Linked DNA regions of Stegostoma tigrinum. The protein of the gene in region 1 interacts with the protein of each later gene in a pairwise test. Links are inferred from orthologs where the notes say so. Each region holds a gene or a part of one and is shown on either strand. Other genes may lie near its edges.

Region 1 (15,839 bases):
GTCCCACAAGCAGGACAGACCTGGCAGAGGTGGTGGTACAGAAGTATTTCGTCAGAAAGGAGGCCCTGAGAGTCCTCAACAAAGACTCCAGACCCATTAGGGCTCATAGCTTCAGGTTAAACATGGGAAAAGAAACCTTATGTTGATCACCAGTATTGTATTCACTCTGTTGATGAATCAGTTCACTTCCAGGTCGAACACTACTTGGAAGAAGCACTGAGGGTGGTATGTGTGCAAAACGTACTCTGAGTGGGGGGTTTCAACGTCGACACCAAGAGCAATTTGTCAGCAGCACGTGTGATCAAGCTGATCGGGTTCTAAAGGACACAGCTGGTAGACAGAGTCTGTGGCAGGTGGCTAGGGAACCAACGAGAGGGGAAAGAAAACTATCAATCTGTCAGCTGCAGAGATATCCGTCCAAGACAGTATCAGTAAAAGCGATCACTGCACAGTCCTTGTAGAGACGATGTTCCACCCTCACATTGAGAATAATCTACAAAGGTGCTGTTTAGCACTATTACCTTGCTAAATGGGACAACCTTCAAACTGTTCTAGCAACTCAAGAATGGGCATCCATGAAGTGCTTTGGGCTATCAACTGCAGCAGAATTGTATCCCAACAGAAGCTGTAACCTCATGGCCTGGCATTTCCTCCAGTCAACCATTAGTGTTAAGCCAGAGGAACAACTGTGGTTCAATGGAGAATGCAGGAGGGCATGCCAAGAGCAGTACCGACATACCTCAAAATGAGGTGTAACAGCATAAGCAGAAAGTGAGAGAAAAAGCAAAATGATACGCAACCAGTATGGGTTAGAAGGGGTGGACGCTAGGAAGTTGTTTCCGTTAGGCAGGGAGACTAGGACCCGTGGGCACAGCCTTAAAATTAGAGGGGGTAAACATAAATCTGAAATGAGACGACATTTCTTCAGCCAGAGAGTGGTGGGCTTGTGGGATTCATTGCCACGGAGTGCAGTGGAGGCTGGGACGTTGGATGTCTTCAAGGCAGAGTTCGACAAATTCTTGATCTCAGAAGGAATCAAGGGCTATGGGGAGAGTGCAGGGAAGCGGAGTTGAAATGCCCATCAGCCATGATTTAAATGGCAGAGTGGACTTGATGGGTCGAATGGCCCTACTTCCACTCCTATGTCTTATGGTCTTAACCAACAGATCAGGTCTAAGCTCTGCAGTCCATTCACATCCAGTCGTGAATGGTGGTGTTTTATTAATCAAATCACTGGAAGAGCAGCAGCTCCATAAATATCCCCATCTTCACTGCTGGAAGAGCCCAATACATTGATGCAAAAGGTAAGGCTGCAGCACTCACAACAATCTTTAACCACAAGTGCCAAGTGGATGATTCATCTTTACTCCCTCCAGCGGTTCCCAACACCATAGATACCAGTCTTCAGCCAATTTGATTCACTCCATGTGACGTCAAGAAAAGATTAGAGGCACTAGATACTACAAATGGGCCCTGATAACATTCCGACAATAGTACTGAAGATTTGTGTTCCATAACTTGCTGCACTCCTAGCCAAGCTGTTCCAGTATAGTTACAACACTGGCACCTACCCAACATGGAAAATTACCAAGGTATGGCCTGTGCACGAAAACAGGACAAATCCAACCCAGTCAATCATCCCCCGTCAGCCTACTCTTGATCATAACTAAAGTTATGGAAGATGCCACCAACACAGCTATCCAGCAGCACCTGCTCACTGACACCCAGTTTGAGTAACACCAGGGCCACTAAGCTTCGGACCTCGATTCAGCTTGGTTCAAACATGGACAAAAATGCTGAATTCCAAAGATGAGGCAGGAATGACATCTCTTGACATCAAGGCTGTATTTAACCAAGGAACCCTAGCAAAACTGGAATCAATAGGCAGTGGACAAAACATCTGCTCGTTGGAGTCATACCTTGTAGACAGGAAGACGGTTGGGGTAAGTCGTCTCAGCTCCAGGTCATCTCTGCAGGAGTTCTTCAGAGTAGTGTCCTAGGCCCAGCCACCTTCAAGTGTTCCAACGACCTTCCCTCCATCAAAAGGTGGGGAGTAGCGTTATGCATGTTGATTGCACATTATTTAGAACCATTCGTTGACTCTTCAGACCCTTCAGTCAATTTTCAAATGTAACAAGATCTGGACAATACTCAGGCTTGAGCTGACAAATGGCAAGTAACATTTGCACCACATAAATGCTAGGCAATGCCCATCTGCAATAAGAGACAACCTAATCACTGACTCTTGATATTCATTGGTGTTACCATCATCAATCCCCTCTATCGATATCCTGGGAGTTACCAGTGACCAGAAACTAATTTGGGATCATTATATGAACAGAGAGGGTCCATAAGCAGGTCAGAGGCTAGGGATAATGCAGCGAGTAGCTTACTTTCTGACTCTCCATTATCTACAAGGCACAAGTCAGTGTGCGTTTTAATACTCCGCACTTGCATGGATGGGTGCAGTTCCATCAACACTTAAGAAGCTTGACACCATCTAGGACAAAAACAGCCCACTTCATTGGCACCACATCCACAACCATCCATTCACTCAACCATCGAAACTCAGTAGCAGCAGTGTTACTATCTACAAGATGCTCCTAGAAATTCACCAAAAGATCCATAGACAGTATTTCCATCTAGAAGCACGAGGGCAGCAGATACATGAGAACACCACCACCTGCAGGTCCCTCTCCAAGCCATTCACCACCCTTACTTGGAAATATATTGTCGTTCCTTCACTGTCGCTGGTCAAATCCTGAATTCCCTCACTCTCAGGGCACTGTGGGGTTACTTACAGCTCGTGAACTACAACAGTTTAAGAAGGCAGCACATCACCTCCTTCACAAGGGCAACTAGGGATGGGCAAGAAATGCTTGCAAGCCAGCAAAACCTATGTCTTGTGAATGAAAAATAGTCATTTAGCTCGGAATTTTAAAACTCCCTCAAATGTGTTTCCTTTTTTCACCTTCAGCAGGCAATAAAGATAAAACAGGTGTTAAAATGACTGCAATTCTTTATTTCTAGAAAATCTGACGGTCTACTTCTTTGAAAAATAGAGTCAAAAACCCAGATTTTGCTGTCAGACTTATAATTTGAGTCAAGAGAAACAAACGAGGTAGCTGAATAATTGTTTATTGCTCAGGTGATGGTCGAAGGGATAAATGTAGCTGTTTATGGCTGAGGACAATAATTTAATAATTGGAAGCCTTTGAGTACTGCCCTGCCCCCAGATTAGGAGTTACACATTTGTTGCAAAGAATAGGAAATTACTGAAAGATAACTGGCAAAAAAAAATTCAATTTTCAATCTACAAACAGGAAGATAGTGAGTGTTGGCTTCTACTGGCAAGTTATAATTTTTATTCAAAGCAGCTTCAAGGCAAAATATCCTTGCACTGAATTTGTTAGTAACATTTATCAATGCAGTTTGAAGGTAATTTAGCGGAATCAACAACTGTAAAAACTTTAGCAAGTCACAGCAAAACTTCAAACTAGGAAGTAACATTTCAAAACCAGCTGCATTATGACAACATCTGGTCTTGGGCAACAGTTCATCACATGCAGCTTTTTACCAGAAACTTCTGTCAGAGACACAGTGGAGTACATCGAACAACAGTCCAGCCATTCCCCTGGAAAGAGTTACAATCTGCATCTGAAGTGACCATATTTCTAAATGTGATCCAGCTAAAAAACAAAAGTGGGAAAGTAGAATTGAGCTTTATGTTGTGCTTTGATCTCATGGAATGATGGAAAAGGGTTATATGGCTTATCCCTGCTCCTATTTCTTATCTACTAAAATTCTCAAAACTCCAGCATACTATTCATCAGCTCTACCAGTTGGTTACAGCTGTTAGATTCAAATTCAGTTGAAGTTTACCATTAAGAAATGAGATAAATAGTGAAACTAGGATTGCAGCTGAATAACAACACCTATTAAGAACCGGCTTTAACTTAGTGTTAGTCAATAGAAATATACATAGGAGGCATAGATAAGGAGACAGTTTTAGAGATGGGCATTGATTTGAGTGGACGCCTTACAAACAGACACAACACAGTAATTGTGTATCACACGCACTGAAATAGTCATAAACAGTCTAAAAGAAAAAGAAGATTGGGATTGCCATAACACAAGAAAAAAAGACAGGCTCTCTAGACATGCACCTGACAGGGTCAACCATATCTCATGTACGTAGACAAAATCTAACTGCCAATAAAAGTGACTTGATAGCCAAATCCATTGACTGGGCAGCGAGTGGGCTTGACAGGGCAGGTACAGAGAAGTTGTTTCCCAATGTAGGACAGTCTATAGTCAGAGGGCTTAATCTCGGAGTCAGATGTCAGCCATTTAAGACAAATACAGGGAGGGTGTTTCCTCAAAGGGAACTCTAGCCATGAATTCCTTACCGCAGAAAGCTGCAGAGGCTGTGTTATTAATATTCAAAAGCTCACATTATTGGATTTTTATTCAGTAAGGGAATCAAGTGTAATGGGGAAAATGGCAGGAGAGTGAAGTTGAGAATTATGAGATCAGCCATGATTGCCCTAAATGGAGAAGCGAACTCAGCTGGTTGAATGGTCTTCTTTTATTCTTACCTCTAAAAATCTTATGAAGATGACATAGTTGTCAAATGTGAGAAGTCATGAATGCTTACACTAAATGTGACATCTTTGAAGCATCAACTATTAGAAGTGTAATTCATCCTTTAACTTGAAATAGTCTTCATTTGCTAATGTTTAAATTCTGTCAATTTTAGTCAGTGTACTCCAGTGAAAGTTGCCCAGCAGTTTTCCTTCTGTAGGTATCCTTCTTTGAAAAAGTTGTCAGTCTCCAAGGAAATCATAACTAAAATGTGACAGTGAGGCCATAGAGGACTTGAATGCAGGATGAGAATTTTGACATCATAATGGTTATATGAAAGCCAGAAGCCTACAAGAGATGAGCACAAAAATGATGGATGAGCAGGAAATGAGAGTCACGTGGGAACACGAAATGAAACAACTGAAAAATATGCTCTGGGTATGGCAAAAAATATGAATGGAACCAGGAGAGTCCTAACTAGTTGAATAATAGTCGAGTGACATTCAATAATGTTCGGGTGTCAGGCTGAATGACAGATAGTTCCTCATATTCCACTTCTGGAACTAATGGCGACATTTCCGCCTAGCTGTCCTGAAGCTGACAACCATTGTCCATGTTTTCCATGGATGGGTGAAATCTGGGATTTCACCACTTGGGTCAGTTATTGGGTCACGGTTGGTGATATTTGCAGTCAATGTGCCGCAATGAGAAGCGGGACTGAATGCTGTGGGTATGTATGCTTCCTAACTGTGAAATGGGAAAGGCAAGTTAAACAAAAGATTAACTGAACCTGTGTGAATAAAAGCAAAATAGCGAAGATACTGGAATTGTGGAGCAAAAAGAATGTTGGAGAATGTTGCAGGTCTGGTGGTATCTATGGACAGAGGAACTGAGTTAACATTGTCACAAGTTCTGAAGAAGTCAATGTATTCCTTCAAAAGATTCAGTTCTGAAGTGGACAGCAAATGCTAACATTATTTCTCTCCGCGATGTGGAGATGTGCAGGTTCGGTGGATTTGCTATGTTAAACTGCCCACAGTATCTAGGATGGGAAATACAGGGACAGGGTATAGACTGGGATGCTCTTCAGAGGGTCGGTGTGGACTTGAGGGGCCAAATAGCCTGCTTCCACACTGCAGGGATTCTAACAAAAATTCTACGCAGAGTTTCACCATCACTTTCCGTTTATGTTTGAAGAGTTTCGCCTGTGGAGTTGGTTTTTGGTTTTCACACATGAACGGAAGTTGAGTAAATTGGCGCCACTTTCTGATTCTGATGGAGCGTTCATAAACATTGAGCGGGGACTTGGGGAGAAAGGGATGGAGGGCTTACTAATGTCCCAGGCCACCCACTCCCTGGCTTTCTCACCTTGCCTGCTCGGCCCCGGCCTCGGGTTGCCCCCAGTCCGCTGTCCGCCTCCTCATCGCTGGAGAAGTCCGTGCCGCGGCCGCTGTTCCGCGCCGTCAGGTGCTGAAGGTAAAGCTGGACGTAGACATCTTTGCGCTGGTCCCCGAGCGGCAGCTGCACGCTGTGGGCGATCAGCTCACTCTTCAACCGCTCTTTGGTCAGCACCGACGGGTCCTGCAGATACTCGGGCATCGCGGCTCGAGCTCCCTCTAGGCCTCACAACTCCCGCTCTGCCACCCACCAACAACGCGGGCCGTCATTGGCCCTGGGGCCGCACTAACACGTTCCCCAATTGGATAGAGGGAGTAACTGGGTGGGGCTGTAACCCAGGGTAACGGGTCAGGCGGGAAGAAGGAGGGTGATCCTGGCCATGGTCCACATTGTCTTCCTCACAGCTCCACAGGATGCAGGACAGCTTCTCATTTCCTCAAAGCAGTCTGCGCTAAACCTTCTCTCAGCTTCTTCCATCAGAGACACACAAAAAACTGCAAATGATGGAATCTAAGCTGGACAAACAGGAGGCTGGAAGAGCACAGCAAGACAGGCAGCATATGAAGGAAAGGAGCAGGCAACCTTTCGGGTATTACCCTTCTTCAGGACTGGATGTGGGGGTAGGAGGAGCTGCAGATAAAGAGAGGGGTTAACGGTGTGGTGGTGTGGCAGCGAGAAATGGGACTCACTGAGTTCATGTCTGAGGCAAGGAGAAAACTCCTTCAAAGTGGGCATCCTTTGAAGAGGTTTCACAGTGGTATAAACTTGATTAGCGACCACACGTAGACTGTCTCACCAAGCATCTACGCCTGGCCTGTAACAGCCAACCTAACCTCCCGGTCACCGCTCATTTCATTCCCCTCCCACTCTCCATCCTCAGCCTCCTCCAGTGTCACAAGTAACTCAGAACACAAATTTGAGCAACAACATTTTATCTTCTGCTGGGTACCGTGGAAGACTCAAAATTGAGTTCTCCAATTTCAAATAACCTTCCCACCCAGCGCACATCCTCCCTTTCATCCCAGCTACTGACCCTCCCTTCTAGCCACCAACTGGATTCACCTGTACCTACTATGTGTCCACTTATCTGCAACATTCCGCTACCTCCCCTCCTACACTTCTCCCTTTATCTGCAGCTCCCCCTAACCCCACATCCACTTCTGAAGAAGGATAATACCCGAAGGGTATTTCTCCTTTTCTCCAGATGCTGCCTGTCTTGCTGCGTTCTTTCAGCACCCTGTTTGTCTGTCTTAGTTTTTTCCATTGCATTAACACCTTTCCTTAGATAAAGTGACCAATACTTACACAATACTCCATATATGGTCTTACCAGTACCCTGAATAACTGAAGTATAAACTCATTACTTTGTATGTTCAATTCCCCTTGGAATAAACAAGCGCTTTCCTTGTTATTTGTAGTAAATTATGTCTTTTTTGGAATATAAAAGGCTTTTAAAATGTCTTTGAATGCCTTTAGGCTGCCAGTGGAATTCCTTAGAGAGCCTCTTTGAAGGATCACATATAGATGCAATGATTAGAGATTTGTGACAGCAATGAATTCAGTTTTTGGGGTGCAGTGGTTCTCACAGCTGGGCAGGAAGGGAGTGCAGTAGTAGTGAGCTGTCAGTGCATTGATGTTTTCTGTCATATGCTGTTATATGTTTTGGAACCTTGATGTACATAAATTGTTACTTGTGCTGGTTTGGTCTGTTTCACCATACAGATTTCAAGCCAGTGGATGTCAGTCTTATAGCACATAATGCTGTTTCTGGTTTGAAATGCCAGCCATGGACAAACATTCTTAAATCCCACAGTTAAGCTGGCATTGAGATTGGCACATATGATGATCATTGAACCTGGGATCAGGAAGAACTACAGAAGCAGTTCTGAGGAAAGGTCACCCGGACCCGAAACATTAACTCTGTTTTCTCCTCCACTGATGCTGCCAGACCTGCTGAGCTTTTCCAGCAACTTTGTTTTTGCACAAGAAGCAGGGAGCTGGAAGGCTGGCTTGACCCAGCATCATTGAGTGTTCTTCAGCTCTTCAGCCCTCGTGAAATTTCCCCTACCATGTCTGGATCCAATGACATCTCATATTGAATGTTTGAAGGTTTTTCCAGCTTGATACCAAATTTAGTATGAGGTGTTACTAAAATAAAAAAAGTAGAAAAAATATTGTAAACAGTTGACAAATGCTGGCTTCCCTTCTTCAATACAAAACATCTCCTTAAGTCCCTCTCTCCTGTCTTCTCCACCCTCACTTCCATCGTGTGTGAAGAACTAACTCAGATCTGAGTCATTTGATCTGTTCAGTAGCTTCTTCCCTAGGTAGACCAATGTCATTTGGACCATGTTAGTTTCCAGTCTTTTGGGAGCTGTGTTAGTCATTGCTTCTGAATGCATGAACTATGCATTCCCATATTGGAGCAGCTCAAATCTTAAGTTTAGTTTAATTTTAACCACTCTCTTTAAAAAGCAATAACACTTCAGCATCACACTCCAGTGTCAGTGACCAGTGTCACTTGCCAATGCCCATGTCCAGGGTTCAGTTTTCTGTCCAAAGTCAGCAACTAGTGCCTGGAGTCAGCGACTAAGGTCTAGTTTTCTGTCCAGTTTCAGTTACCCAAATCCTGAGGTTGCAGTTCTTATCATGGGGGAGAAATTCCTACAGGAGGCGAACGTGAGACTACAGCTAATTGAATAAAACAAATCAGAGCAATATAAAATAGGCAAATACCTGTTCAATGAACAATTTTGAGATGTATAGAATGCATGCAGCACTTAAGTAATGAAACACGTCATTCCATATATAGATGATGTAGTTTATATAAAAACGATGACCCCGACGTGATTCGAACACGCAGCCTTCTGATCTGGAGTCAGACGCGCTACCGTTGCGCCACGAGGTCTGAGAATCCTGCTCTGGGAAATCTTCTTAAAGCTGCAGCTCGCAGTGCATTTTTTTTACTGTTAATTCAGCTGCGAACCTGCTTGGTCCTGGTACTGACGGTGGCCCACGCCTCAGCCCGTGGTACCTGCTTCCCGGGGTCGCCCCCACCCACAGCGTGCGCCCACTCGGGGCCCACCACCCATACCCTTGTGACACTGCAGCACCACCTTCTGGGCGGGAGTGGGAATGGCAGCCAATACCGTCTACTGCCCTCCAGAAGGTTTAGGTGTCCTTTCAGCTGTCACATGTCGTCCTGCTCCTGATGTCGAAACTTTTCATTTCCTTTGCTTTGTTATAAAGCTTCATCGAGAATGCTGATACTTGTTGCCTGTCACTAATTGAAGAGACTCCTTTAGCTACTGCATCTGTAGCGATTGTAACGAATTCAGCCAGGTGGAGCATTTTTTGCTTTGATTTATTATTGTCACATGTACCTAGTTATGGACAGGTAAAATTTTGTTTTGCAAGCTGGCTGTGAGAAATCTGGATCAGTGTAAAAATTTCTCCACGTGCAAATAAAGGGTGACTTGGTGACGGGATAGCAGCCTCTTTGGAATGGCGATTATTGGCTTCCCATGATAGAGCTGCTTTCATCCTTCTAACTTGCAGGTCAAGTGAATACTATCCTGAGTTTTGGCACAATTCTTCAGTTATTCTCATCCTGAGAGGACTTGTGATTTTGGTCCCACTCCTCACCTCCATGTAGTGGATGGTGGGAGACTGGCCACTCAGGAGGCAAGCTTGATGTCTGAAGATGCCAGTGAGAGATAGGAAATCATCTGGAGAGGGTGCAGAGGGGATTTACCAGGAAGTTGCCTGGGCTAGAAAGTTTCAGTTATGAAGAGTGATTGGACAGACTGTGATTGTTTACATTGGAACAGAGGAAATTGAGAGCATAAACAGGGTGTATGGGAATAAACATCTCCCCTTGGAGCGATCAATGACCCAGGGCACAGATTTATGTTAAGGGTCAAAAGACTTTGAGGAGATGAGGGTGGTCAGAATCTGGAACACACTGCCTGTAAGAAGCAGTAACCCTCATAACATTTAAGGTGCAGTCTCATAGTTCATTGAAAGTGGAATCGCAGGTAGACAGGGTGGTGGAGGAGGCATTTGGCACGCTTGCCTCTGTTGGTCAGTGTAGGAGTTGGCATGTCATATTGTGGCTATACAGGCCACTGTTGGAATACTGTGTGCAATTCTGGTCTCCCTGCTATAGGAAGGATGTTGTAAAACTTGAAAGGGCTTGGAAAAGATTTACAAGGATATTGCCAGGGTTGGAGGCTTTGAGCAAAAGGGAGACGCTGAATAGGCTGGGGCCGTTTTCCCTGGATTGTCAAAGGCTGAAGGGTGACCTTGTAAAGGTTTAGAAAGCCAAGAAAGAAGTAAATAGGGTGAATCGCAAACTTTTTTATCCAAGGATAGGTGAGTTCAAAACGAGACTCAAGGCTTAAGGTAGAGGGATAAGATTTTTAAAAGGGACCTGAGAAGCAACATTTTCACATGGAATGTGGTGCGTATATGGACTGAGTGCCAGAGGAAGTGGCGGAGGCCTTGGGGTTACGGTGAATTTTGACTACAGAGAGCAGAGACACCAGCGAGTTTTGAGAAGATTTGTAGCTCAGGTTGAGGTTCTGGATGTGAGTTTGCTCGCTGAGCTGGAAGGTTAGTTTTCAGACATTTCGTCACTTTTTTTTAATTTGAAAAAATATACTTTATTCATAAGATGTACAAAAAAAACATATTTATACACCTACCCAGTCATGCAAGCCGCTCCGGGTTACCCAGGGGGTACGTACACCAACTAAAGGGAAAAAAACAAACAAAGAAGAAAAAAAAACAAAGCAAAGAAAATACCCCGGCAGTCGTCACCCCGCACAGTCCCCGTTGGCCCCCTGACCAGTTGGGAAAGGCGCCAGCTGGGCCCAGTTACCAGATAGGGCCCTTTTTTTCTATTCTGGACGAGGGGTTTCATACCGTGGTCTTTCCCCACCGCGCCTTGGCGGCAGCTGCCCCAAGCTTTAGCGCGTCCCTCAGCACGTAGTCCTGGATCTTGGAGTGCGCCAGTCTGCAACACTCGGTCGGGGTCAGTTCTTTCAGGTGGCAGACCAGCAAGTTGCGGCAGACCAAAGAGCGTCTTTCACCGCATTGATGGTCCTCCAGGCGCAGTTGATGTTGGTCTCGGTGTGCGTCCCGGGAAACAGCCCGTAGAGCACGGAGTCCCGCGTCACGGAGCTGCTCGGGACGAACCTCGACAAATACCACTGCATCCCCCTCCAGACCTCCTGCGCATAGGCACACTCCAGAAGGAGGTGATCGACAGTCTTGTCCCCCCCGCAGCCACCTCGAGGGCAGCGTGCGGTGGCGCAGAGATTCCGGGCATGCATAAAGGATCACACTGGCAGAGCCCCTCTCACCGCCAGCCAAGCAATGTCCTTGTGCTTGTTTGAAAGTTCTGGCGATGAGGCATTCTGCCAAACAACTTTGGCAGTCTGCGTGGGGAACCACACGACGGGATCCACCCTCTCCTTTTCCCGAAGGGTCTCGAGGATACTATGTGCTGACCACTGCCTGATGGCCTTGTGCTCAAAGGTGTTTCCTTTCAAAAATTTCTCCACGCAGGACAGGTGGTATGCGACGGTCCAACTACTCGGAGCGTTCCGCGGCAACGAGGCCAGGCCCATCCTTCGCAACACCGGGGACAGGTAGAACCTCAGTAAGTAGTGACACTTGGTGTTTGCATACTGAGGATCTACGCACAGCTTGATGCAGCCGCACACAAAGGTAGCCGTCAGGGCGAGGGTGGCGTTCAGTACGCCCTTTCCCCCATTTTCCAGGTCTTTGTACATGGTGTCCCTGCGGACCTGGTCCATCCTCGACCCCCAAATGAAGTGTAAGATGGCCCGGGTGACCGCAACGGCGCAGGTCCAGGGAATAGGCCAGGCCTGCGCCATATACAACAGTACCGAAAGCCCCTCGCACCTGACAACAAGGTTCTTACCCGCGATGGAGAGGGACCGGAGCGTCCACCTCCCCAGCTTCTGCTTCAATTTGGTGATACGCTCCTCCAAAGTCTTAGTGCACGCCCCAGCTCCACCAAACCAAACACCCAGCACCTTCAGGTAGTCTGTCCTGACGGTGAAGGGGATGAAGGAGCGGTCATCCCAGTTCCCGAAGAACATGACCTCGCTCTTACCCCTATTGACTTTGGCACCCGAGGCCAGTTCAAACTGGCCGCAGATGTCCAATAGTCTACTCACCGACCGACGATCGGTGCAGAAGACGGCGACATCGTCCATGTACAAGGAGGTCTTGACCTGAAGGCCTCCGCTGCCTGGGATAGTCACGCCCTTCAGGCTCACGTCCTTCCTGATGGATGCGGCGAAGGGCTCCACACAGCACGTGAACAAGGCAAGAGAGCGCGGGCAGTCCTGCCTGACTCCAGATCTGACGGGAAAACTGTCCGATTCCCACCCGTTGATCGAGACTGCGCTAACGATATTGGTGTAGAACAGCCGGATCCAATTGTGGATGCCCTCCCCGAACCCCAATTTGGAGAGGACGTCCCTCATGTAAGCATGAGAGACCCTGTTGAAGGCCTTCTCCTGGTCCAGGCTGACGAGGCAGGTGTCCACCCACCTGTCCTGTACGTAGGCGATCGTATCCCTGATGAGCGCGAGGCTCTCAGCGATCTTCCTGCTCGGCACAGCATAGGTTTGGTCAGGGTGAATCACCGACTCCAGGACAGACCTGACCCGGTTGGCTATGACCTTGGCCAGGATTTTGTAGTCCACGTTCAATAGTGAAATGGGACGCCAATTCTTAATTTCTTCCCTCTCCCCCTTCCTCTTGTAAATGAGGGTGATGATGCCCTTCCTCATGGACTTGCACATTTCCCCTGCCCGAAGCGCACTATGGTACACCTCCAGCAGGTCCTGGCCGACCAGGTCCCACAGAGCGAAATACAGCTCGACCGGTAAGCCGTCGCTCCCGGGAGTCCTGTTCCTCTCCAAGGACTTGAAGGCTCTGGTCAGCTCGTCCAGGGATATCGGCCGGTCCAGCCACTCCCATGTGCCGTTGTCTAAGACCTCCGTGATAGACGACAGGAATGACTCAGAGGCCGTGCTGTCCGTGGGCTTCGTGTTGTACAGTCCGGCATAGAAGGATCTGCTGATCCTCAAAATGTCGGGCCGAGACAACGTCACCGAGCCGTCGTCCTCCTTCAGCCGGCTAAGCACAGAGCTCTCTTTGTGCACCTTCTGAAAGAAGAAACGTGAGCATGTCTCATCCTGCTCCACGGAGCGGACCCTGGACCGGAAGATTATCCGGGAGGCCTCCGCGGCGAAGAGCGAGGCTTGCTGGCCCCTCACCTTGCGGAGGTCCTCCGTGACATCGACCCCCATCAACTGCAGAAGGAGCAGGTTCTGCACCCTTTTCTGGAGTCGCGACAGCTTTCCCCGCCTCAGTTTCGCCTTCCGAACACCCTTGAGGACAAAGAACCTCTTGATGTTCTCCTTCACCGTCTCCCACCAGTCGCCCGGAGACTGAAAGAGGGGTTTCACGGTTCTGCAACCGGTGTACTCCCTCTTAAGCTCCTCGACATTCTCTGGGGTCAACAGAGTCGTGTTGAGCTTCCACGTCCCCTTGCCGGCCGGCTGGTCGTCCTGTAAGTGACAGTCGGCCAGCAGGAGGCAGTGGTCAGAGAAGAACACCGGCTCGACGCCGGTGGACCTGACCAAGAACGCCCGTGACACAAACAGGAAGTCTATCCTTGAGCGAATAGACCCGTCTGGCCGCGACCAGGTGTACCTCCGCTGCGCTCCGTCTGCAGGGGTGCTGAAGACGTTGAGCAGCTTGGTGTCCTTCAGCGTGCCCATCAGGAATCTGGACGTGACGTCCAGTTGACTCCCGCCACCCACTGTCCCCACGCCGGATCTTCCATCTGCATCGATGATGCAGTCGAAGTCTCCGCCTAGGATGACCGGCCTCGATGTAGCCAGCAGGGGTGGAAGCCGCTGCAGGACGGCCAACCGCTCATTCCGTACCGCTGGGGCGTACACGTTGATCAGCCTCAGGGGAGCGTTCCTGTAGGTGACGTCAGCCACTAGGAGGCGCCCCCCCCACCACCTCCTGAACTTGAGAGATGGTGAGGTTGCGCCCCCGCAGCAGAATAGCCAGGCCCGAGGAGCGACAGTCGTTACCCCCCGACCAGATCGAAGGCTCACAGGTCCAGGCACCGGACCATTTCCCGTACCTGCCAAGGTGCCGTATCCCGCACTCCTGCAGGAGGTCCGCCTTGATGGTGGTCAGGTAGGCCAACGTGGACACACATCTTGTGGTGGACTTGATACTGCGCACACTAATGCTCGCACCTCGTACCCCCATTGTGGGCAGTGACCGCAGTACCCTCCCCAAGTCCAAGGTCCAGCCCCTCCATCTGTCCCTTCATTCCCATTGCCCGGGCTAACTGCTGGATGCTCTCCGGGCTCAGGAAACCGTCCGTGCTGCCTTCCGGGTGGCATCCCCCCGTCGTGGGTGTGGAGGCAGGAGGGTCCGGCTCTGGGTCAGGCTGGGGACGCGCTGTCTCCTCCTTCCCGCCTGGAAGTTCCGGGGGGCCCTCCAGTGCTCCAGCGGCACTTGACTGGGTGTCGGAGGGAGCCTCAGGACGTCTCCCGTCACCTGGAAGCGTGGTGCTGCTTTCCTTCTCCCTCGAGATCTTTAACTTCTGCTTCGGGTGGGCCCTCTCCGAATCCCCCTCGTCAGAGGAGCTCTTATAGCCCCCCTGTAGCTGCCTCTTCCCGCCTGATGGTTGTGGTTCCTGGGCTCGTTGACGCACCTTCCTCCTTGCTTTCTGGACCGTCGTCCACTCCCCTGGGTCGCCTGTCGCTGCCTCCATCGACTCCGGGTTGGCGGGCGGGGGCGGAGCCTGCAGGGGTGCTTTGCTGGCCTCGGGCCCATCCTGCGGGGCTGGGCCCTCCTGTACGACCTGGCCCTCCTGCACATTAGTGGGGCCCTTGCTGGGCCCTGGTGCCTTCCTCTCCTCAAGGGGCCTGGCCCCACATTGCCCCTGCCGGCGACCTGGGCTTAGGTGGTCCCCCGCCGCGGGCATGCCCTATAGAGGTGGCCCGCTTCCCCGCAAAGGTTGCAGCGTTTCTCTTGTGGGCAATCCTTTGCAAGGTGTCCCTTCTCCCTGCAGATGGTGGCTTTGCAGTCGGCCACCACGTGACCTGACCTACCACAGGCATGACAGACTTTAGGTTGCCCTGCATAGATCAGGTAGCCCTTGCTCCCGCCGATTGTGAAGCTGGACGGTGGGTGTACAACGTTCGCATTCGCGCCCATCCTCAGCGTCACCTTGACCTGCCTCTTACTGGTCCAGATGTCAAAGGGGTCCATGATGTCAGTTAGGTCCCCTTCCACCTTCACGTACCTTCCAAGGAAGGTCAGGACATCAACTGCTGGCACATGCGGGTTGTACACGTGTACAGTCACCATACGGCTCCTCTGCGCTGGCATCACAAACAGCGGGACAGCGGTCAATACAGAGAGGGGGCCCTCACCTCCTTTCTCCTTGAAAACCTCCAGGAAGCGCTCGCAAAGCTTGGCACTCCGGAAGGTCACATTGTAAAAACCTCCTCCAGGGAAATCCTGCAGGCAGTAAATGTCCGCAGCAGTGAACCCGCAACAGTCCAACAAGACCCTCTTCACGAAGAAGGTGTGGTCCACAGGTGCACCTTCATCCACCTTCTTTACGGAAACACGGATGGTGTTCCGGACCCCCTGACGTGGGGCACGAGCACTTGCCGCAGCCATCGTTGCAGGTTGGCTGCTCCCCTGAACCAGTGTTAGGCCGAAGCCAGCATTAATATCCACTGGTCGCAAGGGTGCACAGCCAACCCGACGTCTTC
Region 2 (16,508 bases), on another chromosome or scaffold:
ATGTCAGCTTTTGTGCTCCTGAGATGCTGCTTGGCCTGCTGTGTTCGTCCAGCCTCTCATTTATATTCAAGTGTGGTATTGATGTGCTGTGAATATCATTGTGCATGTTTGTACCACTGAAGGTCCCATCTTCAGCCAGGCTGTTTGAAAAAGCCACCAAGTCACTCTACTTGAGTCTCCAAGCTACTCTGTATAGAACAGCTTTTAAATCATGATATTCAGAATGGCATATCACCAAGTGCTTTATAACCAGTTCACTAGTTGTTGAAATATAGTCACTGTTATCATGTAGAGATCACTGATGTAACTAGACGTTAGTAGGAAATTAATCTTTCCATATTTTAGTGCAGCTGACTACTATATTACCATTGATGTGACTCTTCTGATGGCATAAAATGCAAAGGTAGCAAGATCAAAAGAGCAGAGCTTGGAAATATTGTGCCACATTAGCTAAACTCAAGTAGGTCAGTGGCTCTCAACAGGGTCTATAGACCACTATTGGCTTACAATTATCCTTCAAGTTGAAAGCTGATCCAAAATGTTAGCCACTGAACTGTAACACCATGGCCAAGGTTATAGAAGAGAACAGACCAAAAGCCTCTATCACTTGTGACGTCACACAACAGATCAGCTCTTACATGCATGGTATGACTCATCATAAACTTGACAAGCAATGTAGTTTTAAAAGCAAGATTTATGTTACTTTACAATATAAAAGTGCAAGACTGTGTATTTTTCAACTCTTGCAGGGCTGAAAACAGAGGAACTGCTACATGTAGAGTCCAATGTGAGACTGAACCTCTTCAGCTCAGGGCCAGGTATCACCTCATTGAAATTTCATCAAAAGTAACAATGTACTTATGTACTTCCCATTAATTTTGCTGAGTTTTATTGAAATGGCAAACAAAAGCAGAAGGGGTAGATGATCAATGTTCACAGGTGCTCACAGACAAAACAGTTTGAGAACTCCTGAAACGAATCTAGCATTATGGTCTGTAATTTATCTTTGTTAGGAGAACAGGTAGCAGAGTATGGATGGGCAGTAAAAAGTACTCGTGTGATTCTCCTGGCCATCATGATGGTGTCCTGTGGAATATCACTGGATCAGTGCTGGATCCTTATTGTTTATGACATGTAAATGATGTAGATGAGAATGGCAGGGCGGGGCAGGAGTGGAAAAGGAAGAGAGAGATGATAAGTAGGTTTACAAATGACAAAGATTGTTTGGTGGTTACCAGTGAGAAAGAAGAGCTTAGATTACTGGAAGATAGAAACAGGTTGATTAGATGGCATGCAGTACGTGAGCAGGGTGATTATGCTGGAGCTCTACAAAACTTTGGCTAGCTCACAGCTGGAGTACTGAGTGCCGTTCTCGTTACTGCAGTGTAAGAAGGATGTAATTGTACTAGGGATATCAGTGATAATGGGAACTGCGGATGCTATAGAATCCAAGATGACAAAGTGTGGAGCTGGATGAACACTTTGTGCTCCTGAGATGCTGCTTGGCCTGCTGTGTTCATCCAGCTCCACACTTTGTTGTCTTGGATTCTACAGCATCTGCAGTTCCCATTATCACTGATACAGCTTTAATCTCACTGCGAAGCCTCTTGCAGGGATGCCTAACCTGAAGAAGTTACCCTCCTCCCTCCGGACCAACCTCAGGGAATCTATCTCCCACTGCAACTCTCTTGTAATACCTATCTTCTTTTCTGTCCATTTTTGGTCCGCATCCCCCTCTCTCCCTATTTATTCCAGTTCTCTCTCCCCATCCCCCTCTCTGATGAAGGGTCTAGGCCTGAAACGTCAGCTTTTGTGCTCCTGAGATGCTGCTTGGCCTGCTGTGTTCATCCAGCTCCACACTTTGTTGTCCTTAATTGTACTAGGGGGTGTGCAGAGGATATTAACCAACATGCTGGCCAGTTGGATTTTGCTATGAAGAGAGTTTGGATAGATTTGTTTTTTTCCTTTTTGGAGCTGAGAATGCAGAGCGGGCAGACCTATTTGAGGTGCATCAGGATGATAGAAAGCAGCTGTTCCCCTTAGTTGACGGGTCAATAACAAGGGAATGTAATTTTAAGGTGAAAATCAGGGGGTGTAGAGGAGATTTCAGGAAAAGTGTTTGGGTGTGTGCTTGAAATATCATAACATTCAAGGCTATGGGCCAAGTGTTGAAAAGTGAGATTAATGTAGATAAATTGGAACAGACTTGATGGACCAAAGGACATCTTCTGTGCTACATGTCAGTGTTAGGGCTGGTTTTGAAATCAATGAAAACAGGATACTGTCCCTGATGTACCCCAATTCAAACAGCACATCTATTTAGCAGAGATACCAAAGTGTTAATGACACGATTTAAAAAGTTACATCAGCAACTGTTAGTAACATGGAGAAAGAAGGCAAAGATTGATAAAAGAATACTTTACTAAATCCAAAGCAAACATTATTTTTTGCCACAAAAGCTTCTCCAAAGCTGGAAACCACAAAATAAAATTCAAAAGAACTGTGGATATTGTCAGTCAAGAACAAAAACAGAAGTTGCTGCAAAAGCTCAGCAGGTCTGGCAGAATATGTGAAGAAAAGGTCAGTTTACTTTTTGGGTCCTTTGAGGAGGAAAGACCAGACCCGAAACCTTAACTCTGATTTTTTTTTTCTTCACATGCTGCCAGACCTGCTGAGCTTTTCCAGCAGCTTTTTTTTGTTCCTGGAAAATGCAATGATTTTTGTGTACAAATTTCCATTTCAGAATTTATTGTTACACAAGTAGAAAATGACATGTATGCAATAAAATCCACATAAAATTGACAAAATATAAACTATTCAAACCACTAGAGGGCCATAGATTCACTTTATAATCAAAAGAAAGTGGGTGAACATTTTCGCAACCATTCCCTTTTTAGGAGAAATCAGCAACAATGATTTCAACTGCTAAAAACTTTTTTTTTGAAAAAGAGACTCCAGATATAATAAAACCTAAGCCTTGTTGCAGTAGATCAAGTAAATAACATTCCAGTTTAAAGGGAAATGTGGTAGATGGTGACATACATTTAACACCTTTTTACAAAATTGCTTGTCAATTTTTCCAGTCTTCCTAATCTGAAGGAGTTGATACAAATGCATTTTTTTAAACTTTCAAATTATTCCCCACCCCCCACACACTCCTTTTAAAAATCTCACCAATATTGCAGTGAACTAGGTCAGACAGCGATTTTTTTCCCTCCTCTTTTCCAACTGTTGTTTCCTCCCATGATAGTTGATCTAAAGACAACTGCTGGATATTTGGACAAGTCTTTTCCACGCTGTTCTGGGAATAACCCATGTGCAAAGGAAACTGTAATGAAATCATGACTCCTAGATATGCACCCATTTTAAGTTGTTCTGATTTTACCTAGGTGTGTCACCTATACTGGACTACATTACATGAATCATACAAAGGATGAATGCTGAACAAAGTTGAAGCTGACACTTGATTTATTAATTATTGATTTGATTTATTAATTCTGTGCTGTTTGTCAAAATTACATTACTTGTTGGGAACACCTAAATCCTTGACATTTTGCAAATACATTTTAAAGATATGGCCAACACATACAAACTGCAATATTATGTTGGTGCCAGCACTTTGTAAATATTTCAACGAAATAATAATATGTACAAACAAATAAGTTGAACTTTAATGGGCGAGAGGCCACCTGATAGAAGTTGACAAAATTATGATAGGAATCAGTAACCAGAGTCTCTGTTGCAGGGTTGAAATGTCAATTACGAGAGGACAGAGGTTTGAGGTAAAAAAAAGGGATAAGTTTAAAGGAGGAGAGATGAGAGGCAGGTTTTTGTTTACACAGAGGGAGGTAAGTGCCTGGAACACTGACAGAGGAGGCTGATAAAACAGCAACATTTAAGTCTCTTGATAGAAACATGAATAGGCAGGAAATAGAGGGATACAGGACAGCATAGAAGTAAAAGGTTTTTAGTTTAGAAGATGCAGTCTGGTGGGCTGAAGGGCCTGTTCCTGTGCTGTATACTGATCTTTTTTTGGTTCTCATATTGTAGTGAAGTAATGCATTCAGCCCAGTAAATTACAGTACAGGTAGGGCAAGTGAGTCTTTAGATATACACAAAGGCCATAAAATGCTCAAGAATTGAGGTAGAAATCTCAAGACAAAAAAAAACTTGGTCTGTTTGAACTCTACATTGGTTTTTAAAATGAAATCTGTCTTCAAAATCAGAGTTTCCCAGTGGTTGATAAAGAGCTGATGAGTTTCAATTCCTCGCCACTAAGAAGTAACCAATTGTAAACGTGTGGCTTCTGCTCTGTTTTTGGTCACCATTTCTCAGTCATTAAATGTTTAGGTATCTAATGGCTTCTTGCTTTTTTCCCCCACTTCCGAACCTCTTGATTTTAATAAGGGTCATACCGAGCTGTCCCCGCACTGCAATACAATTTTTTTACATAACAAGTACACTTTTAAGGGCATCACATACATATGGCCCAACTAAAGTGATAGGTTAAAATAAAACCAAAAAAAATCTGTTTGCTTTGCTGGCATGTATAAATTATATTTTAATAGTGAGTTTTGAGAAGATTTGTAGCTCAGGTTGAGGTTCTGGATGTGAGTTTGCTCACTGAGCTGGAAGGTTCGTTTTCAGACGTTTCATCACCTTTCTAGGTAACAACATGGGTGAGCCTCCAGTGAAGCGCGGGTGTTATGTCCCGCTTTCTATTTATCTGTTTAGGTTTCCTTGGGTTGGTGATGTCATTTCCTGTTCTTTTTGTCAGAGGATGGTAGATAGGCTTATATTTTAATTTTCCACTGCTGGGTCAGTCATCTAGTTCAAGCCAGGAAATTGTAATTAAGTATAAATATTGGACCAGTAATAATATTGATATATGTACAATTTCAAGATTTTATAATCACACTCCAAGACTTCAGTGCTCGTTCCAGTGTGGTAGTGATGCAAGTATATGGCACCTCAGACAAGGAAGATCACTTAGGATGAGATTTTAAAATTGAGGTTGCAATATATTTTTATTTCAGAGTTTGAGCATGTATTTTGCTTTTTACAATTCCAGGCCATAGTTTGATGTTTTAATTCCTGCAAAATATCTGCATTTTGAGAAATTAAGCAAAGTATTTTTCATTTCCTTAATACAAAAGCCAAATACTCGGCATCTGACTCAGGTAGCCTGGGAACATCTATGGAGAAACAGCATTAACATATCTGGTCAGTGACCTTTCATGTGGGAATTCCACTCCTGCCAACTTATTCTAGCATTTCTGGTTTTATTTCTCTTTTGTCTATCATAGCACAGGTGATTTATAATCGTTCAAAGTTGCAATGTAAAAAGATACTTGGGATAGAACTTTCAGTGTTCCTCCTGTTTTACCAGTTTTGTGCTTTTTCTATATAAACAAAATTTAAGACTAATTTCAATTTGAATGATTTGAGTACTTTGGTACAATCTGCTGGAATTACATAAGTGAATTTAACTTATTCCAATTGATGTGTTTTAAAAAGTGAAATTTTGTAAATGAGAAACATGGATTTCAGTGGTTGAGTAAATTAGGCGCACCAGCTAAAATAAAGTGTGTTGACTATAGCCAGTTGTGACTTCTAATACAGATTGGAGATTGCACCAAATGACAAAGGGCAATGAAAATGAAGAAAACAATAATAAGGTATGATTTAAAGATCGTAAGAACAGCCCATGCCGGAGTCAGAGATAACACTGTGGACCTGGAGGAACACAGCAGGCCAGGCAGCATCAGGAGCAGGAAAGTTGACGTTGCGAGGTTTGATTTAGCGTATGTTGCTATTTAAATGGTTACATCATGATTATATCCTGACAACAGTCAAGCCATATGGCGAAAGATATTATTCAGATAATCGCTGTGGTTAAAAGGAAGATTGACGTATGTTGTAAATCTAATGTGCCACAAATTTCAGATTTGAAAAGTTATTACCATCACTGACTTCATTACGTAGACCAGAGGTGACACCCTGCCCACTCCACACAAAAAAGTCAGTGTAAGAGATGGGAAAATTGAGAAGACATAATCACGGAATTGTTAGGTGTAAGAAGCTATTCAGTCCACCTTGTAGCAACGGCTCGTGAAATGAGAAAAGAGTTCCAGAAAGATTAAGTGAGGGCGAAGAGTCTGGTTGAAAAGAACAAACTCAGAGCAAACTGACTTTTGTAATCTATTTCTACAATCCATTCTACAATCCGACCCCACCACCCAAGACATTTTTCCATCCCCACCCTTGTCTGCTTTCCGGAGAGACCACTCTCTCCGTGACTCCCTTGTTCGCTCCACACTGCCCTCCAACCCCAGCACACCCGGCACCTTCCCCTGCAACCGCAGGAAATGCTACACTTGCCCCCACACCTCCTCCCTCACCCCTATCCCAGGCCCCAAGATGACTTTGCATATTAAGCAGAGGTTCACCTGCACATCTGCCAATGTGGTATACTGCATCCATTGTACCCGGTGTGGCTGCCTCTACATTGGGGAAACCAAGCGGAGGCTTGGGGACCGCTTTGCAGAACACCTCCGCTCAGTTCGCAATAAACAACTACACCTCCCAGTCGCAAACCATTTCCACTCCCCCTCCCATTCTTTAGATGACATGTCCATCAATAGGCCTCCTGCAGTGCCACAATGATGCCACTCGAAGGTTGCAGGAACAGCAACTCATATTCCGCCTGGGAACCATGCAGCCCAATGGTATCAATGTGGACTTCACCAGCTTCAAAATCTCCCCTTCCCCCACTGCACCACACAACCAGCCCAGCTCTTCCCCCCCACCCACTGCATCCCAAAACCAGTCCAACCTGTCTCTGCCTCCCTAACCTGTTCTTCCTCTCACCCATCCCTTCCTCCCACCCCAAGCCGCACCCCCATCTACCTACTAACCTCATCCCACCTCCTTGACTTGTCCGTCTTCCCAGGACTGACCTATCCCCTCCCCACCTATACTCTCTCCACCTATCTTCTTTTCTCTCCATCTTCGGTCCGCCTCCCCCTCTCTCCCTATTTATTCCAGTTCCCTCTCCCCATCCCCCTCTCTGACGAAGGGTCTAGGCCCGAAACGTCAGCTTTTGTGCTCCTGAGATGCTGCTGGGCCTGCTGTGTTCATCCAGCCTCATATTTTATTATCTCAGTGTTTTTCTGTTCCATATTAATAAGATTTTAAAAAATCAAATACATTAACCAATTGATAATTTAGACAGGTATATTAGGTGTGAGCAATTCAATTATGGAAACTCAGGCTCAGGTTAATTTTACTTTTGTCTTCGTGTCTAACAAATATAATTGTATAGGCTATAGTGGGCAGTATACAGTACATAGCACGCTAATCAAAACAAAAAACAACATTTTGCGAAAGGCGATACGTTACATATCACGGAGCTGAACGTGAGTGAGTGAGCTGAAAATAACTAATCGGTGGCGAATTGAATATTTCCTGTAGAAGAAAATTTTAAAAACCTTCTATTTCAGCCTCTGGATTATATTAAAGAGGGGCTGTTTGGCAACGAGGATTACTTCATTATTTAAGTAAAAAGGGGAAATACAATATATTGAAGCTGGCGATTCTTAATGTTTAGTTTTTCAAAAAAGATTAGTCGTTTGATCAGATAATGACCTCACCCCTCTCTCAAATTACACTTAAATCCCGAGACAATTCCTTCATATCTGTTGCGGTTTGTCGACGCGCGCCAAAATTTGAAAACCGCGCTTTCCGTTGGGGCGCGGACGGCCGTGGAGGTGGGCGCCAGCACAAATGATTGACAATTAACTGTCTGCAGACGAGCCAATCGTTGCTGGGGGCGAGTACCAGTCTGGTTCTGGACTTTGTGTATGGCACACTGGGATTTGTAGTCCACCCGGCTTCAATCCTGGGTCCAGAAAATGCAAAACTGACAATCAACGAACATTCGTGGGTTTAGACGAAGCAAGGCAACATCACGCGTCGCTCTGGAAGCCAGTCATCAACATCCGGACAAAGAGTCAAACAGGGCGGCTTAATCGGACTACAATTCCCGGCCTGCAGCGCATCTACTTCCTTCCGTCATCTATACCCCTGGAGGAGCGCCGCATGATAACGGCGCCATTTTCTAGTTCATTGAATAAAAGGGGTTTAGCAGCACGGGTTTTTACGAAACAGTAAAAGTGTATTTTTTTAATTAATCGGGTAAATACCAAGGCGTTTTAACCATGTCAACTACTCCGGCTCAGAAACAGACCCGGGCCAGCGGGGCCCAAACGCCTCTGAGCCCGACTCGGATCACTCGAATCCAGGAGAAAGAAGAGCTGAAGAATCTCAATGACCGCCTGGCCGTTTACATCGACAAGGTACGCTCCTTGGAGTGCGAGAATAGCGTTCTGCAACTTAAGATCTCCGAAAAGGAAGAGGTGACGACCCGTGAACTGACCGGCATCAAGGCCATGTATGAGACGGAGTTGGCCGACACTCGGAGATTGCTTGACGAGACAGCTAGGGAAAAGGCGAAGCTGCAGATCGAACTGGGCAAGAGCAAAGCGGAGCTGGATGAACTCAGCAAAAAGTAAAGTAGTATATGTAATACCCGCTTTTTAATATGAACTTGACTGATTGGTTGTCTGTTTATATTGAATGTGAAGCTGCATTTTCACACGTGCCCTTTCCCATGTTGTTAAGTTTCAGTTGTCAATCTATTCAATGTCTCCTTTTTTGAGAGGGAGAGACCGTTGAGTCAAAGTACCTGTTAAAGTTTTGATTTTTCGTGTGTGTATGTTTAGTGAACTAAACCATCGTAGTCCTCCTTCACCCAACTGTTTACATTTTTTGACAGTCGTATTCTAATTTAAAATTGCTAATATTGGCAGTTGTTGAAATTACTTTTCCGTACTTAACACTCCCTGCCTGTGTAAGAAGTTCTTTTTACTAAGTACTATGATCTTCGAGTAATTATAGCTACTTGTTTATACTTTGTAACATTCTAAAATAAATTTGGTTGAATTTACTTTTAACTACATTGTAGGAATATTTTAATACACATTTTGTCAAGGCCAAAGAGGAACTATTGACCAAGATTAGTCTTTTGTTAAATTTTGCTCATGACTTTTTGTCTGTATTTGACACTCGTAAGAAATAGGAATTTAAATAAGCTATGTGGCTGCTTCTTTAATGAGGTCACAACTGATTATCTATCTCTTTCACATTTCTCTTCCTTCCCCCATCCTTTTGGTGCCCAAGGATCTTAATGATCTGCAGTCTTTAAATATCTTCATAGAGATGAAGGGTCTTGACCTAAAACGTCGACTTTCCTGTTCCTCTGTCCTGTTGTGTTCTTCCAGCTCTACACAGTATTGACCTTGATAGGGAAGATATTTGGAGCTTTTTGCTTAATTCCTTTTATAGAATCTTTCAACTCCTTTTCATCTGATTTTTCTTTTTAAAGTCAAAATAAATCCATGTAAACAATTCTCCTGAAAGCTCATTGTATAGCTCTTTACCTTTTGTGAAGTTCAATGAACTGACCGTTCTTTGGTTACTGTGGACAGTGGGTGTTGTCAGACTATGAAGGCAACAGCTGATGCTGCAGAACCTGAAGCTGGGAAAGAAGGATAGGCTTTAGTTTTATTTTGAAAAATATATTGGTCTACCTGTTGAATTTCCTCTTTGAGCATAAAGTTAATCAATATTGAAGTTAATGGGAGATCAATTTTCAATCAACGTGAAGGAAGTTCCTTGAAAGTGGAGTCACCGGTAGATGAAAAAGGCATTTGGCATGCTTGTCTTAATTGGTCAGTGCATTGAGTACAAAAGTTCTTGGACGTCATGTTGCGGCTGTACAGGGGATTGGTTAGGCCAGTTTTGGAATACTGCCTTCAATTCTGGTCTCCCTGCTATAGAAAAAAATGCTGTTAAACTTGAAACGGTACAGAAAAGATTTACGAGCCGTGATTGGGAGGCTTGAATAGTAGGTAGTGGCTGAATTAGGGTAGGGCTTTTTACCCGGAGCCCTGGCCCTTAGAGGCTTATAAAATAATGCGGGGCATGGATAGGGTGAAAAGCCAAGGTCTTTTTCCAGGGTAGAAAAATCCAAAACTAGAATACATAGATTAAAGGTGAGAGGGGAAAGATTTAAACAGGACCTGAGAGGCAACATTTTCTTGCAGAAGGGTGTGTCTATGGGATGAGGTAGTGGAGGCCGGTACAGTTTCAACACTTAAAAGGCATCTGGATCGGTACGTCTGTAACAAGGGTTTAGAGTAATATGGACCAAATGCTGGCAAATCGGACTAGACCAGATATCCTAAACTGATAGCAAGGATGAGTTAGACCAAATGGTCTGATTCTGTAGTGTATAACTGACTTAGTGAAGGTGGGTGACGGGTCTGAAGTGTATAAATTTCTTCTGCTATGTCTGAATATAGTTTTGGAGCTGTAAAATGTTTTCAATTGTTTGGGGTTTGTTCAAATAATTTGTACCTGATTTTTAGTTCCTGCTGTAAATGCTGAGTTTAACTACAGACCTATGGCATCTGGGACTTGTATCCAAAATTTTTGGTTTGAAATGTCAGTCTGGTTACAAAAACCTTTCTCTACTCAAGGAAAGTTTGTCTTTGCACCTCCTTGTCTTGATCAGTAACATTTGCAAACTGGGAGACAATTTTTTTCTGCTGGTGAAACACATGTTCCTCATGTATATGAAATCATTTCTCACCTTGGTGACCAGGTGCTTCTGTACTTTAAACCATGTGACTACTCAAGAGTTTAGATTCTTCACAGTATATTTGCTTCAGGGATGGGTGTTCTGATTTCTGAATCTTTACCTTGCTCTTCAGGGGAAGATGATGGGCTGGGGTCAGAGGTAATTTTAGAATTATCTTGCCTGCTGTAGCCTCGACATCCTAGAAGCAAAACACAAATGCATTATCAAAAAAATTCTACTTGAAAACATCCCATGATGAAAGCTGGCAGATATAATTGAATGGCAATATTGTTTGTCACTCGTAGGTCAGTTTATGCAAGAGCTGTAAACTGACCCGTGGTGCATTTTTTTTTTTTTTGCTTTTGTTTCGCTATTTCTGTTGGCAATATGACCGACTGAAGGTCAAAATATTGTATGTAGCGGATGGGACTGGAAAGCCACTAGGTGTGTGGCGCTGTAGTTGAATCATGTTGGCCAGTACCTGCTGCTTTATACATGCAAAGCGAGAAATGGCTACCCTAGTTGCAATTTGGTTTTTCTTTTGCTTCTGCAATATATCTGGCGAGCTTACTGATTTGTATGTCAGCGCGTTGCTTTGTCGTTGTTTTCTCCGTAGCGCTGTGACCACCTTTTTGACAATTTCTTTTAAAAATCCTTTAATTGTAATTTGAGTGGCAGTTGCAAGTGCTGGAATCTCTTGTCCCATTAACACAGTTACAAATGTGAAAATGGGATTGCTGTTGAAACGAAGATAATGGTTTTATCGGTTTTAAATGCGAAAATTGATGGACGGACGTTTCTGAAATGAAAATGTACCGTACCCAAGGTGCGTTCATTCTCTACAAATGGAGAGAATATCCTTGTTTTCATGGTATATTAGTATGTTGAACCAGCGCGGCATCTCTTAATTTCCTGATGTAAAGCCTGCTAGTCTTCCAGGCATTATGAAAAATTGCTTCACCATTTTGTGGTTCCATTGTAGATCTGTTTTTTTTCCTCTGGCCCCGTTGTGATGGGATTCATCTTGAAAATATGAATCCTGTTCTAGTTGGATGAAATAACGTTTCCTTTTATTTCGGCTTTAACCAAAACCTGTCTTCCATTAATTTTGGGGGAGGGGGAGAACACATCTGGATGGCTGCTATAAATTTCAGTTGGTTTAATACGCCTTCATTTTTGCTGCCCCAAGGGGACTGCGCGCAATGGTTTTGTTATCTACACCCTAATCCTTTGTGCCAGACCTAATGTTCAGGAGTAATGAATAATCACGCCCATTATTTCTTTACTGAATAGAACAAGACGTGTAGAGAAGAATCCATCACATTTTAGGGAATATGCTCAGGAATAATTACATCTATTTAAAACCGATGGGGTTGGCGACCTAATCTAATTCGGACGTTATCGATTTTATTGTTTGTTATTTTGCTTTATCTCCGGATACCGCGCTATATTTGTATTGGGTGGGGAAGGAATACCGGTTCTTATCCAGCTTTTAATGTTCTTAAGCCGTTGGTTGCAGCGAATGCATGACTCCATTGTATCGAGCTGGATAGAATAGCCACTAGACGAAAGTGGAACTGGAGGAATACCGGCCAGGCAGCATCAGAGGCAGGAGAGTCGACATTTCGGGCCTGGGTCCTTCGTCAGGACTGCTGCACACTGTATTGACTCAATTAGAAAACTTTATCGATTTTTTTTCTGTTTCTGAATAAGATCTCTTTTTAATCTACTGCAGTGCAGCAGCTTCAACTAATTTGTGTTCGTGGATTTAATGTCGGCTAGATCACGCTATAACAGGAAACGGAATGAAACTGAAATGGGTCAGCGGTTCCCGGCTTTCTTTCGAGGTGGGGGACGTGGATATTCTTTGGGAGGGAGAGGAGTATCGTTGTACTCTAAATCGCTGAACATGCGGGAAATTTTAGCTAAGGCAATAGTTTAAAACAATTTCCAGCTAAGCTTCAGTTTTTAGGGGCTTCAGAAGTCCAAAAATAGCGTTGCTGTACACACCCTTCATCACACTAAATTGTAGCACAGCAAGTGAGCAGCCAATCGAATGTAACTAAGTATCCAATAAGGATCAGGATTGAGATTTCTCATTAACTTTGTTCCTGACACGGTGGATTCTGTCTTTTACAGTGCATTGGTACTGGATAGTTTGAATCAGGAGGGCGGCTGTAGCAGGATTTGAAATCGTATTGTGGTTTCTCGTGTCTAATTTCTCGTTTTAACATGTTTCGGTTGCAAAATTGAGTAAGAGTTTATTTTAAACAGTTGGTTTTGACATAAGGAATTACGCAGATCACTCATTCAGTTGTTTTAACATGGCAAATCGTGATTTTTTTAAAAATTTGCTTGGGATTCCAGGTGCACAACTAAAAGAAGGATTGGCCAAGATGTTTTGTAAAATTAAGTCTAAACGAGTGTTTTGAATGAATTTGGGGTCTTTGTCTAACAATTCAGAAATTAATTGTTGTATAGTATGATGAAAGGTGTCTAATGTCACTTTGAAATGTTGGATTTTTTAAAAAGGCAATTGGAATTTGGTCAGTTATTTGGATAGTGACCTTAAATCCATTAGTTCCATGGTGCATGATTGTAATCAAGTTCTGTACAGATCCCTGCAGTGTTAATGGACGAGATATTGTTGGGTTTATGACAAGCAGAGTAAATGTTTTAAAGGCAATTAGTTTAGATTTATCACTTCATAAGGGGAATCCACAGTGGCCTAGTGATTACCACTGCTGACTTTCAACGCCAGGGATACGGGTTTGATTCCAGCCTTGGGTGATTGTGTGGCGCTTATATTTTCTCCTGTCTATATTGGTTTCCTCCCACAATTCAAAGATGTGCAGGCTAGATGGATTGTCCATAAGTGTCACAGGATGTGTAGGCTAGTTGGATCAGCCATGATAAATGAGGATTGGGTGGGATGCTCTTTCGAGGTCATGGCAAATGTGGCCTTTTCCTATACTGTAGGGATTCTATGAACAGAATATTTAAAGCTTACAAATCTGAGAGGATAATAGAAATTTCTGGAAAGGGTCAAGTTCTGAGGAAGGGTCACTCAACCTGAAATGTTAACTCTGATTTTCTGTCCATCAGTGCAACCAGACCTGCTGAGCTCTTCCAACAGTTTCTATTTTATCTGTGTTTTAAAACTTACAGTTCAGAAGAAGAAGAAATATTTCCTCTAAGGAGAACCATGTTTTTTTGGGGGGGGGGTGGTGTGGGTCCGCAGGAAGTGGGGAAGGCAGTTTCCACCAAGTCAGTTCAGGATAGCTGTCACTTCAGTTTTATCTCTATAGTTTCTGAAACTTCCAGGTCAGAATTCCATATTGTTAGAACTGAGAGTTGAGGCCATCTGAATTGTGAAAGTCATGCCATCAGATGCTGAAAGGAGTAATAAAATTATCTCCCCAGTTGAAGGAAAATAAACTAAACATATATTAATTTTTTTTCTCAGCTGAGAAAGGACTGAGCGTAGTATTTCATTAGAATTGAATTTCTGATGAGATGGAATTGGGAGATGGGTTTGAGTTTTTATTTCTCAATTTGTGTGTGTATTTAGATCTTTTTTCATGTAAGACACTTATATTCTGTTAAAGAATGTCTTTCACTTTATGCACGTTTTATGACTAACCACAGTTAACCAATTCCAAAAATTTTAAATTTAACCGATCAAGCGTTTGAAGATAGGGTAGGCCGTTTGATCCCTTGAGTCTGTACTGCCATTCAGGATGACTGATCGTAGAGCTCCATTCTGTAACCCACCACCTTTTCTCTCCCTCTCTTCCTTTTCCCCCAGCAACAAAATGTCCTTTTTAACCATGAGCTAGATCTACCTCCTTGAAAACACAACATTTTGTTCTCAACCACATTTTCTATAGTGAATGCTGCAGGCTCACCACATATCTGGGTGAAGAAATTTTTCCTGATCTCTCCCTAATAGTTTTGCCTCCAATCCTTTAGGTATGGAGACCATCACCACCACCACCATCCAGAATGTCATTCCTGCATCTAACCTGTCTAGTCCTGGTTTTTTTTTAAATCTTGTTTTTTATATAGGTTTCTAAGCACACCCCCATCCCTCAGCCTTCTATACTCAAGTGAATGTAATCGTAACATACTCCTCACCCCTCACTGACCATCCTGGAGTCTGGTTGGTCAACCTTCACTGCACTTACTCTACAGCAAGAACACCCTTTTGATAAGGAGACCAACATAGAACATAGAACAATACAGTGCAGAACAGGCCCTTCGGCCCTCGGTGTTGTGCTGACCTGTGAACTAATCTAAGCCCCTCCCCCTACACTATCCCATCATTATCCATATGCTTATCCAAGGACTTGCATACAGTATTGCAAGTATGGCTTTGCCAGTGCCTTGTATAATAGCAACAAGGTATTCTTATTCCTGTACTAAAATACTTTTGCTATGAAGGCTATGGACCACACCAAACCCCCTCAAATATTAAGAAGGTATCCTAGACCCTAACAGTTCTCATTTTAAATGTAAGGTGTCGCATTCCAAATGCCATTCAGTTTGTCAAACTACACTGTCAAGCAAAACACCACTTATTCATATCTTGCAGTTAAAATATATCAAAAGAATAAGGAACATAATTGGCTTAGCTGTAATTCTATTGGAAAAATTAACAATTATAGATTCAATAACTTGCTAACTAACTGTTCCAATATTATAACACCCCATAAAACACACCCTTTGTAAAAGACAGATATGAAAAACAGATTTTCTCACATGCAACTCCAGCAGCTGAAGAGGAAAAACATCAAGAGAACTCAGCATGTAGCAGGAAGAGAGCCAGCAACTGCTACAGAGACTGAAAAACTAAAAATCCTCTTTGAGAGCTTGACCACACCCATTCAAGCTGTTTCTATTGTCCCAACGTTTTAGAAAAATAAACCTAAGACCTCTCAAGCCGTAAGCTTCATTGGCATTTCAAATAGACAGCCCAGCATCCTGGTCTTAAAAAGCCTTTTCCTTTCAACAAAAAGGGACAAAATAGATCTCCTAAAGCCACAGTATTGTCATGAGGTATTGCCTTTACTGCCTGCTGCATCTGCTTGCTTGTTTTCAGTGACTGGTGCAAGAGGACTCCAAGGTCTTGTTGAAAGTTTTTGTCCTCTCAGTTTACAGCCATTCAAGTAATTTTCTACCAGAGTGAAAAACCTCACATTTATCTGTCTATTACTACATCTACCAGGTATTTGTCCACTCGGTCAGCCTTTCCAAAAGATGTTGCAATGTCTAGATAACATCCTCACAGTTCGCCCTTTCACCCAGTATTGTCATCTGCAAATTTTGAGATATTACATTTTTAGTTCCCTCATCTGAACAATTTATTGAATATTGTGACTAGCTGGGGTCTCAGTACTGATCCTGTTGTACCCCACTAGTCACTTCCAGCCATTCAGGAAAAAGGCCAGTTTATTCTTACTATTGTTTCCTGTCTGCTAACCAATTTTCTATCCAAGTCCATAACTCCGTATAGAACATTACAGCACAGTACAGGCCCTTCGGCCCTCGATGTTGTGCCGACCTGTCATACCGATCTGAAGCCCATCTAACCTACACTATTTCGTGTACGTCCATATGCTTATCCAATGACGACTTAAATGTACCTAAAGTTGGCGAATCTACTACCGTTGCAGGCAAAGCGTTCCATTCCCTTACTACTCGCTGAGTAAAGAAACCACCTCTGACATCTGTCCTATATCTTTCACCCTTCAATGTAAAGCTATGCCCCCTCGTGCTTGCTGTCACCATCCTAGAGAAAAAGGCT

The links.
Region 2: the proteins of lamina-associated polypeptide 2, isoforms beta/delta/epsilon/gamma-like (region 1) and lmnb2 interact in a two-hybrid assay, tested with the Homo sapiens proteins (2 studies listed by BioGRID, with this or other methods). The link is inferred for Stegostoma tigrinum from reciprocal best matches to the Homo sapiens genes TMPO and LMNB2.

The regions. Positions count from the first base shown.
Region 1 is NC_081378.1:53,055,997-53,071,835, reverse strand, and holds the start of lamina-associated polypeptide 2, isoforms beta/delta/epsilon/gamma-like, read right to left. Parts: upstream 6,252-15,839; 5' UTR 6,184-6,251; coding exon 5,953-6,183; intron 1-5,952. UniProt on the Homo sapiens protein: May help direct the assembly of the nuclear lamina and thereby help maintain the structural organization of the nuclear envelope. Possible receptor for attachment of lamin filaments to the inner nuclear membrane.
Region 2 is NC_081383.1:27,587,664-27,604,171, reverse strand, and holds the start of lmnb2 (lamin-B2), read left to right. Parts: upstream 1-8,065; 5' UTR 8,066-8,219; coding exon 8,220-8,569; exon of another isoform or gene 8,570-9,598; intron 9,599-10,714; exon of another isoform or gene 10,715-10,901; intron 10,902-11,497; exon of another isoform or gene 11,498-11,506; coding exon of another isoform or gene 11,507-11,528; exon of another isoform or gene 11,529-11,863; intron 11,864-12,431; exon of another isoform or gene 12,432-12,473; coding exon of another isoform or gene 12,474-12,549; intron 12,550-16,508. UniProt on the Homo sapiens protein: Lamins are intermediate filament proteins that assemble into a filamentous meshwork, and which constitute the major components of the nuclear lamina, a fibrous layer on the nucleoplasmic side of the inner nuclear membrane.